Drosophila melanogaster: one gene and its partners. The protein of the gene in region 2 interacts with the protein of the main gene of each other region in a biochemical or structural test. Each region holds a gene or a part of one and is shown on either strand. Other genes may lie near its edges.

Region 1 (3,759 bases), 4.3 Mb from region 2:
TTCTCCACAAACTGCGCTTTGTTTCACGTTACAATCGTGCTCCACGAACGATCCAAGAGATATTGTATTCAATAAATATCGATTCCATGCCCTTCGACCCACCCTTCAGTTATCATTACCACAGCACTTAAATGATTTCAACCGTTGCTGGAGTTGTGTAATGAGTTGTTGTTTGTTGCGATGCCAATCAAACAATGGTGGTAAAATTAACATGGAATCAGCTTAAAATGCGCACTGCAATTGTTATTTTCATGGCATCGTTGGTTAATTGAATTTAGTGGTTTTGGATATGTATTGTTACTTTTTGGATAATTTAATGCCAAACTTTCATCGCGATAATGATGCATTTATAATTTTAGGCTAGTCCATTTTAAGTGCCACAAGTACAGTCTGCTGTTAATTAATGATATATATTGTACTTCTATGGCAGAGTCACTCAAATTCAACTAAGCCCACTTATCAAATTTAGCAACTGGCTTTTGTCTTCCGTTGTGTACTTCAGGCATAAATGCAAGTTAATTAAGCAAACCTGGTTGCACATTAATCACCTGGACACCCGGCCAAAAAGCCACAAAAGCACCTGGAGACCACTTGATCTTTAAGGAGAAAAGTCAAGGCATAAAGCTCGAAAGAAAATTCAATTAGAAAAACACGAAAGGCGGCCAAAAGAGCGAGGAAAACGGTTCGATTTCAATGTCTTCTTTTTTTGGGGGCTGTCCCCGGACATATGTATATACTGCTATTCCCTATTCAAGCCATTCTTTATAAGGTTATAAGATTAATGAGAGACAAGCTCATCTAATACTATTCCCTCAAGCGGCACTTAATTAATGCCACATGCAAAGAGTCCTGCGAGGTCCTTGGCCTTTGTCGAGTCCTTTTAAAGGCAGCTGGCAAATTGTCCAAGAAGTTTTCCTTAAAATTTTTTTTACTGTCGTACTTAACGAGTTTTTACTAAAACAAGGTCGGCCTTTTGCCTTTTTGCTTAAATATTAAATGTAATTATACTTTATTATATAGTATAATATGTGCAAAAAATGCTTTAAATCAAAGCCAGTGCTAACAAATGGATGTGTACATGTTTGCAAAAGTTTTAAAAGTCCAAAACTACACCAATTATTGACTGTCTGTGGAAAGTTTATTTATTGACGGAACAACTTTGACCTTTCCGCATCACCTCATTAACTTTTTTGTGGTTTAGTGAATTAATTACCTTTCCTACTTCATATCACCACAAGAACTCATTAGAAATGAGGACTCACTTCAAAGTCAATCCGTAACACACGTGCTCATTAGGTACATATTTCCGATTTTTCATTCTGCCCTGGATTTCAGAGGAAAAATGCGAGTGAACTTCAAAAGCAGATAAGGCGAAGAAGAACTTGGAAAAACTTCCATCTCAACTTGGAAAAACTTTGATTTAACATTTATTTTTGCACGAAACTCTTGGTTGTTGTTTATGCAACTGTCTGGAGTTTCAGTTGAAGTCTGTAAAAAATGTGTTTTGTTTTCTGTGTTTCAATCCTATCGCTAAGCGTATAATTTGCAAGAAACCTGAGTAACAAATGCATTTTCGATTGGCATTAAATCACGTCGCCCGTCCGAGTTCATTTCCGATGAGAAATAAATGTTTTTCTCTGATTTATCTGTGCTCCACTTTTCGAGGAGGGAAAATCGAGCCACATTGAATGCGAAAGAGCAGTGTGGGTGGGTTAATATTAATGTACTTAAAGCTGTTATTCGACTCAATTTTGGTGTCAGCAGCAGCAGGGCGAATATTTCCCATGAATTTAACCATTTAAACATCCAATGTTAGTTTTTAACAGACAATTAATTCAGGGGACAATATCTTTCACTGGCCGCATAAAGCGGCCTCCAATTCGAAACTTCACTTTTGCCTCAAGAGCATTATACACTGAGCGAAATCGAAGCCGAACGATCTTAGTGTCGTCTCGCGCACAAGTTGAAAAAACAGATGCGGCAGTTGGGAAAGTTGGGAAACCGCGACACCGCTATCGAATGCGGCAACTACGAGATATCCTTTCGTGGCCAGGACCACAATCTGCGATAAGGACTCGTAGTCACATCCGCGCCAAAGGACGAAACACGTGCGCCGCGACTTGAAATTCATTTGATACTGCGGCATCCGAGGCCGGAGCTTTTCCGTATTGTTGTTTCCTCCGCGCTGCAAGTAATCGTTCCGATGTGAACCGAGTCCTGCCAGCCACGAACAGGACGACGAGTTGGTTGTTATTGTCACTCCCGCACTCCGAAAACGGGTGACTTTGCGGCGAATTCGGGAAAATCCTTGTATTTGAAGGGGCGACTGTCTCCAAGATGAACGTCTAAAAGGGAAATTTTGCGGGGAGAATTTAAGCAACTATAATGAGAACCCTACTTTGTTGTACCAATTAGGAAAAGATTCTATCCAATCATGCCATTTCATGAAGATACCAAAGCTTATAAATATTTTAGAAATATAATTAAAACTTCTTCAACTTTAAAGGTGTTATTTTTCAAATACGCAACAATTTTTTGTTGTTTGCACTGCTTTGAATTATGATACACTGCTTAGGAATTTCTCTTCACTGCTTATATGGGTAACAAAAACCTAGGGAAATTTTAGTTCTTGGACTGCTTGCAAAACATTTGAACTGCTTAGTTTCGAGAGAACTGTTCTAGAAAAATTGCCCAGGAAATATTACTGATCTAAATTCTAGTCTCTTTTGGGAAATAAAAACTGCTTTCAAGCCGCTTTTCCAATTTAAACAAGTGTGTAGTGCAAGCCATGCTGCCAATGCCAACAGGTGTGTTCAGAATCTTACGATTCATCAATATGCCCCCAAAAACATAATCAAGCACAGAAAAACATTGAGAAATACGCCTTTACTTCACATCTTTCAATTTTATTTTATTTATGCAAAATCGTGTTTTCCATTAAATATACAAATGAGATTTAAAATCAAATCAAAAGTATCGCGCTATTATGCAAGTATTGGGGAGGAGTCTACAGAAATGTACACACAAATGCAAGAAAACTATGAATAAAAGTATAAAAATATTTGAATCTATTGTTTGCCTTCAAAATGCAGTTGGAATTGTTAAGTTCAGTTAACACAATAGAGTTAACACTTCGCGCATCGCCACAAAAAACGCACTTTAATAATTACAATTACAAAATTTCAATGGTAGAACTTTTCACAAAACTCTCATGCCGTTGTAAACGAATTTAAAAATAATGTTTTCTCAACTTGGAGAAAAATGTTTAAACACATGTTTTACAACAGAAAATTTCTCGTGTCTTTCACTAATTTATCAGTATCGAGGTTGAATTTACTAGATTGTTAGTGTACTATCGGCATCCACAAAGATTTGCTCGTATTGCTTTTTCTTAATTAAACTTGACGAGAAGTTGTTGATAAATGTGAATGACTTCTTGAGTTTCGACTTATAGAACATTTTCCGGTTTTTTAACTTTTTGCGAAAAATTAGGGCTTCCTTCACTATTTACTATGACGCGTATTCTGTTTGCATCTGCTGCAGCTGCTGATGATGTTGCTGTTCGAGAAGTAAGCGTTCCTGACGCTTAAAATCATTTGAGCTTGGCGTATGCGTCGACCTTTTTGTGAAACTGGTTGTAGTACTCCAGGGCGGCGTTACGCGTCTGGTTCAGCGCCTGATTGATGTTCTCGGGCGAGAGACGGCCACTAAACAAAGATCACAATCATAAGGGATGCATTCTCAAAGACAACAAAGGCC
Region 2 (3,759 bases):
CCTTTAAGTAAGCAATCAACTTGGGCCAATCTTGATGAGCCCGCCTTAAAAGTCCAAAGGAATTTAGGGGATTGGACACATATTTATATCGATCCACCTTGTGATCCAAATAATTCGGAGTTAAAGAATTAATAAAACTATGTGAAAGTTAAAGTGTAATTCTAGTTTTAAGAGAGGAATTAAAATATATATCATACATTCTGAGAGTTTTGATTTTTTGTTGCAGAAAGCTAACATAGTTGTTTAAATGCTCCATATAGGAATTCTCAATCTCGCGAAGTTCAGACAGGGCTCGAATGGAATTTGAGTATATTACTTCCTGTACTACATCATTTTCGGCTTTCTTTGCTTTGCAAACTGTGAATAGGAATAATAAAATCCAGTTCAGCAGAATATAATGAAATGATCTTAGCAACATTCTGCTGCGAAAACTATATTTTTTCATTTCCTAACGAAGATACTACATTTTAAATTGATTTATATCGCTTATTCGTCAGGCCTATTTTAAATGCTGCGGTGATTGATACACTTAAGTTACACATATACACTGTTTGTATATTTAGCTTAATATAATTTAGTATTTCCCTAACAAGCCTCATAGAACATATTTCATGAGTGATTCTTGTTTCAAAAAATAGTTGTAAATTCGCTTACTTCTTTTAACAGCGCTACACAACACTATAACTTTTAGCAAAGTTATACACCGCCATAATTTTATTGTTAGGTAACATCGGAGTTGTAAACCATTTCTGTTTGCTTTTTCGAAATTTGATTTCGAGTTTCTACACAGTTAGCCAAGACACATACTTTTCATGTGTAAGTAAAAGTAAGGAAAGTTTATTTGAAAGGCTTTATTATACATCAAGCAGAAACAATTTGAAATTATCGGCAGTTTTTTAAATAAATAATTTTTAAATAATGAAAAAGTATGTTAAATCCACTAAACTAACAATTCTTGAATTTAAGTCTATTTTAAAAATATACATAACTAGTCAAGGCAATCTAATGTACGTATTGCCATTCAGATACTCTAAAACGTAAGTTTATTTTGCTGACTAATCAAATTATGAAACAAAGGTAGGATTTATCAATCACTTAGACTTCAAGATTGCATAAAAACACACTCAAATTTTAGCAAAATATTATTTAATTAAGACAGAGGCTCTGACTCAGAGGCCAGAATGAAGAAACGAAGAGAAACTTGCATGGGCCAGCAAAAGATGTGCCCCTAGGGAAAACAACAATCAAGCAAATTCCACGTGCTTATTATGATTATTGTTATCGCTATTGAAAAGCGCTAATTGTGCGCAAATAGCGGTGCGAACTTAATGCCAACTTACCGAGAAGCTCACACATGCAAACCAAGCCAGTTGGAAGTGCAAGCATCGCAGAAAAGCAGAGGAGCAGCAGCTGGAATCCGGAGGGATATGGGGGATACGGGTGAAAGTTGGGCAGAAGATGCGCGGCATTTCGGGGTTAATTAGAATGGTATTGGAGTTGGCCTTTATTCTCCGCCGCCCACAAAAAAATCACCAATAATGTGTCACTTTCCCCCGGCAACATGTCGTATACTTCATATCGTCACGTGCATATGAAAATATTACGTCGGGCGGTTTATGAATGAAACATTTACTATTGCACAGCACCGTCTTTCGGCTGCCGGGCACCTTGACTACTACTGGGCTACAACCATACCCACTAGACACACTAGAACCACCCAACCACCACCCACTACCTTCGCAAGGCCGCAGGACACATGCGCAACGCCAGTGCCGCATTTGAATTTTGAATATGAGTTTTGACACTTGATTATCAGTTCGCGACCAGTTGTACGGGTGTGCGGACGTTTGGCCACGGCAATCGGCGGAAAAAACTTCATCCGCAGAAGCGGAAAAAATACATTTGCGCTGTTGCGGCGGAAGTTGAACTTCGGCCATTTGGGCAGTGAAAGTGGCAGAGTTAAAAATTAAAGTGGGAAATCAGCAAATATTCAAAAGTTTCGCACCTTGATTGCGGTTGAGTTTTCGGCTATGGGAAGGCGATTGCCCAGCTTTTGGCTGCTGCTCCTGCAGAGCGTGTGTTTCAGCCAGGCCAGCTTTTCGGAGCTAAACAATTGTAAGTGGATCGAGGATGTGATTAACTAAAGGATAAATAAATCTGATTGCTAATAATGAAATTAGTCAGAAATATAAGATTTACTTTGAATGAAATGCATAACCCATTAAATATTAAATTAAACATTTTAAGGATAGTTTTTCTCGATTAATATGACGTTTTTTGAATGTTGTACAATTAAAAAGTATCCTGTTTACAAGCTGAACTTTTGTAACCCGCCAACACGAAATGATGAACCCAAAAGTGTACAGCTAATTGACTGCAAACTATCTAAAGCCGGAGTGGTAGCGTATAAAATGGAAGGTAGCTGGTAATCGGAAGTCCAACGAGTCCATAAGTGAATAAACTGTGGCCAACATATTCCCCAGACGGGACAGACAGGATGGCGGTGATAGGGAAAGGGAGCGGGCAGAGGGGTTTCCGGTGGAGAGCTGCGAAAGAGTAACGAGGGGTAACTTCCGCTGGGGAAAATGTGCGCCGAATAAAAAAAACAAAACAAATTTTCCTTGACTTTGGCGAGCCAAATGCGATAAATATATCAAAATTCGACAAAATTCGCATTTAAATCAATGTGCCAGATGCAAAGTAAACATAAATATTGGCAGGCTAGCCGCAGCGTGCGATAAGAAAGTGAGAAGTGGCTCAAAGGAGTGATGATGCACCGCACCGCACGATGTTCCGTGCCAACCAACCAACTCCCACCACCCACCACCCACCGCACAGCGGGCAGGCAGACAGACAGTCGCGGAAAGGCGACGTTTTCCCACTTCCTATTGCACTCTGCGATATTTTCGTTTCATTTTTTTTTCTATTCCTGGCCGGCGGTTTCTGCCGCTGAAGTGCCGCGTTTTTCGGTTGGCGGTTGCGGGTGTGGAACTGCCACTGCAGTGGGTTATTTCGCAGTTTTTACTTAACTTTTTGGCAGACATTGCGTGCTGATTGTGATTGTGATTCCTTTCGCCGGCAGACAGCTGGAGTGTCTAACAGGAGACAGGACATTCACTTTCCGTTTCAAGTTCAAGTGGCGTGGGGAAAGGACACGGCCGGATTTGCAGCGACTTCGCGGGGAAAATGCGGCTTAAGTCCTGGCCGAGCGATTCAAGCGATTCCAGCGATACAAGTCGTGCAAGAAAACAGGAAAATATATTTAACAACTCATAGTCAATTTCCCCTTATAAAATGTGGCAACAACAAAGGCGGTGCGGTGGCGAAAAAGTTAAATGCTAAATTACGCTACCTTGCAGACATAAATAAAAGAAGAAAAGTTTAACTATATGAACACACATGTATGAGTACACTCAGAATAATTTCAAAAGTAGAAATCAAAAGTAAGATATTATACATAATTACTTACCTTGTAGTTTTGTTAGCGTTTTATGTTCATTGCTCCTTTATGCATAAAAAATCTAATCAAAATCTGTTGATGCAAATATATTATTGAAATTTTTGTTTTTTTTATATTAGTTCTTTAGCTTATTATACTTTTATTTCCAGTGCAAAGTACGTTTGTGTTTTATGGCTTAAAAAGTCTCGCTCGTCCCTTTCTTCGGAATGTTTCAATATGCAAACATGCAATAACCAAATTGCAATACCAACAAAAACAGAAACCATATCAACTGAAGGCAGTCAAACAATGGCGCCTCG
Region 3 (3,759 bases), on a different chromosome or scaffold from region 2:
CATAGCATATTTTCACAACGATATTTTCAAAAGGCAGGTTAACAATTATACGAAGAGTTGCAAAGTAATATACTAGGTAAAAACACCAATTTATTTATAAATGCGTACATATATTTGATTTTCTCAGGAGAGATTTCGTATATGTACAATAGAATTGGTATCTACACATGTGAGTGACTTTATTTATATTTCAAAGCACACAATATTTATATTGAAATTCTGGAATAACCAGTACTTCTGTATAATTTTATCAACAAATAGTAACTATGACACCTTGAGGTTTACGATTATTTATTTGTTATTTAATTTTTATATGTCATATTATTGATACTATTTATTTTCTATTTAGACACTGTTAAACCTCGAAAAATAGCACAAAATGCCTGGCGAGATAGCGTGTACATAATAAGAGAACATTATTTTCAGAAAAAAAAACATAAAAATATTTCGAAGTTCACGAGATATTATTTTTGAATGTATTTATGGTACAAGAGCATCCCGCTTGTGATCGACTAATGTGCATACATATACACGTTCTGAAAACAAACTCTTTACTTTTCTTACTTTTTAAGTTTATATTTACAAACAAGATTTGTACAAAAACATATGTATACAATTTCATAATACCTTGTTATCCCAATTGTCGTGCTTATACCGGACAAACCTAAATTCAATTGGAATTTGTATTTTCGTTTGCAATTAATGTACTGTTATTTAAGAATAATACTACTATTGCGGTAGAGCTGATGAGACATTACATTAGGTTCATGTAAATACCTTGACCTGAAATGGTGTTGCCTTCTATAAGGAAAACAAATTATACACTTTTGCAGATGTTTAGTCCGAAGCGAATAATTGGCCTTATGTATGTGTCATGCTCTGTGCAAGCTGCTAGTTGAAAAGTTATAGTTCTATCTGTGTGAAGCTACATTTTGAATTTAAGAATTGATTTTCAAAAGGAAACACCTAGATGTTAACAAGGACGGTGACAGTTTTTAAGGGAGCGAAACTGAACTTTATGTGAACTAAACTAACTTACACTAATTTTCAAACAAGTCAACTTAAAACTAAAACAAGAGAGAATGCTATAGTCGAGTTCCCCGACTATCAGATACCTGTTACTCAGCTAGTGTAAATGCAAACGCGGAATTTTATCATTTTTCTGAGATATCGATAGATATTGGGGAATAAAATGACAAAAAAATTAATAATAGTTAATACTATTTAATAATAATAGTAGAGTGGGCGTGACCGGTTTGGGGCTTTAGGGCGGGGCTAAAAGTTTTTTGGCAAATCGATAGAAATGTACAAGAATAATAAAATATTGGAACAACATCCAACAATTTTTTTAAAATATGGGCTGTATGTTAAATCTCTACCTTCTTGGTTTTATGGTTCCTGAGATTTCGGCGTTCATACGGATAAGGCTAGATCGACTCGGTTTTTGATCCTGATCAAGAATAAAAATGTATATAATATAATAATATCATATAATTTATGTAGCCGGAAACGCTTCCTTCTGCCTGTTACATACTTTGTAACGATTTTAGTATACCCTTTTACTCTACGAGTAACGGGTAACGTTTCCTTTTCTATATCATTTAAATTTACGAGTAACTGGTATAATAACTTATGCATTTTTTTAGGATAAATTCACAATGTATGCTTACATTACCATTACCGTTTTTGAGAATGTAACTGTCAGTAGTAACAAATTTGTTCGAAATTTAAGGGGTAAAGGTGCTATTGTCACGTTTATCTGATCTCAGTCTCAAATTGATGTGTACCATTTGTATTCCGCCCATTGCTTATATTATTAAGCCGTGTTACTGAGTCTTAGCAATAAAAGGAAACTAGAGTACTTAGTATATGACTTCAAAATGTTAAAATTAAAAAATATATACATACAAATAATTATAACCTACGCAATCTATAAATATATAGAATCTATCCTAAATTGTAAGATAACACATATGTACATATGTGACAATGGGCATGCGCGAATATTTTCAGGGTTGCAGAATATTAAAAATCTGTATACAAGTCGTCCTCACAGAAACACTAAAACGTGCTGCTTAGGGGTTGTTAGAGCTTACCGTTGAAATAATAATTGTCGATGCCAACGAAATAAGTGTAAAGACTAAAAAAAGTATATAAAAATTGAAGCCAGCAAGTATAATTGTATGTATATTAAAAACACAGATCTAAATACCGAAAAACAGAATATTATTTGAAAGTCCATTAAAAGGATAAAAAATCGATGCCGATACAAAGTTGTTCTCAATAAAAATCTTGCGCCAATACGTGCTCTCGCGTGTGCTTAATATCTAACTTAATTATATACTTAACATTTATTATAACTACATAGGTATATGGAATTCTACTCTAAATAATGCATATCTGTGAAAGACAAATGAATTAAAGCAACATGTCGCGTGGCAAACATGCCACATTCTTGAATAATTCGCCAATTAAAATCAAACCATTCATTATTTTAGTCTTGAATTTAAATATATGGTGTCAATACATTAGTGCAACTTCATATTTAAGCCTGAACGGTAAGATACATTTTAAATTAAAAGTTTCCCACTAGAATGATAAATATATTTTTACCCTTGCGGGATTTTTTTTTTAATTTTGGTTGGACCCATTTTCTTCTGCAACGTGTAGAATGAAAACATATAATGCATTCCTGAATACGAAGACAAAAATTATACATGTATGTACGTATTGTACTTAACAATATTCAATTGTGAAATTATACGCAAAAGTATTATGTTTAAAAAGCCATTGTATTTAAATTATGCTAAATTTAAATCTAAAAAATAATCTTAATATTGCATTTTGCCCATAGTATTTTTACCACCTGAAAGCTTGCTTTGCAAAACATCCTTCGAGAGGAGCTTCGGTTTCTAAAAGATGACAACAGTTTCATGTCTCGCCCCAAGCTCTTTCACCAACAAGTGTAACCACTCTTTATGATCGACCTATCGCAAAAGATTTCGCGCATGTATATATAGTTGTCGCAAGCTCTTAGTCTTGACCGACACTTCCGTCCATAAAAAGATCGAAACTTTAAATTAAAATGTTTAGCTTCTAGATAAGGGGCATATAAAATTATTTTTAGTTTATACCTGCAAGGGTATATACGCTTCGGCTTGAATAATTTAGCATCCGTTTTCGTTTAACATAAAATACAAATTCATTTTAGACCTAACCAATTTGGAGCGACCTTTCTTTGATGATATTAGCCCAAGAAATGTGTCGGCCGTAGTCGACGAAATCGCAATATTAAGATGTCGGGTTAAAAATAAAGGAAATCGCACGGTAAGTCATTATGGGTTCTTTCTTTTATTCTTACACATAGGATTATATCGAAACATTTTTATTCGTTTGAAGAGCACATTCGGTCACATGGTAAAAAGTACGACTGTACGAATTAGTGACGGAAAATTGTTTGAGGGGGAAGTAACCTTAAATTTCAAACTAAACTTGGGGACACACCAGGAAAACGTTTTATTTTTTAAAGGCAGTTTTCTCCCAAGGATTGCTAGCTTGCGCTGTCTTTTCGCTAGCCCTTTTCAACTCTCCTCCCAAATCTACGTGGGAACTTGCCTCCATTTCCATCGATCAAGCTTGTTTCGAGGCCTGTTCTCAATTTGAAAATGTGAAAAATTCTTTTAAGTCTCATGTTTCTCTAGCAAGCTTGCCTATATCTAAACAAATAGGATTAGGAATAAATGATTACATTTTGAAATA

What was found.
Region 1: the proteins of DIP-iota (region 2) and dpr2 form a complex in vitro, tested with the Drosophila melanogaster proteins (one study listed by BioGRID).
Region 3: the proteins of DIP-iota (region 2) and dpr7 form a complex in vitro, tested with the Drosophila melanogaster proteins (one study listed by BioGRID).

The regions. Positions count from the first base shown.
Region 1 is NT_033779.5:10,962,013-10,965,771, forward strand, and holds the start of dpr2 (defective proboscis extension response 2), read right to left. Parts: upstream 2,142-3,759; 5' UTR 1,214-2,141; intron 1-1,213. Other genes in the region: Tmem214 (transmembrane protein 214), read right to left, coding at 3,593-3,707.
Region 2 is NT_033779.5:6,619,782-6,623,540, reverse strand, and holds the start of DIP-iota (Dpr-interacting protein iota), read left to right. Parts: upstream 1-1,840; 5' UTR 1,841-2,030; coding exon 2,031-2,115; intron 2,116-3,759. Other genes in the region: CG34345 (uncharacterized protein), read right to left, coding at 1-137, 198-418.
Region 3 is NC_004353.4:251,623-255,381, reverse strand, and holds the start of dpr7 (defective proboscis extension response 7), read left to right. Parts: upstream 1-2,052; 5' UTR 2,053-2,181; exon of another isoform or gene 2,182-2,368; 5' UTR 2,369-2,428; coding exon 2,429-2,558; intron 2,559-2,670; exon of another isoform or gene 2,671-2,671; coding exon of another isoform or gene 2,672-2,723; intron 2,724-3,211; coding exon 3,212-3,327; intron 3,328-3,759.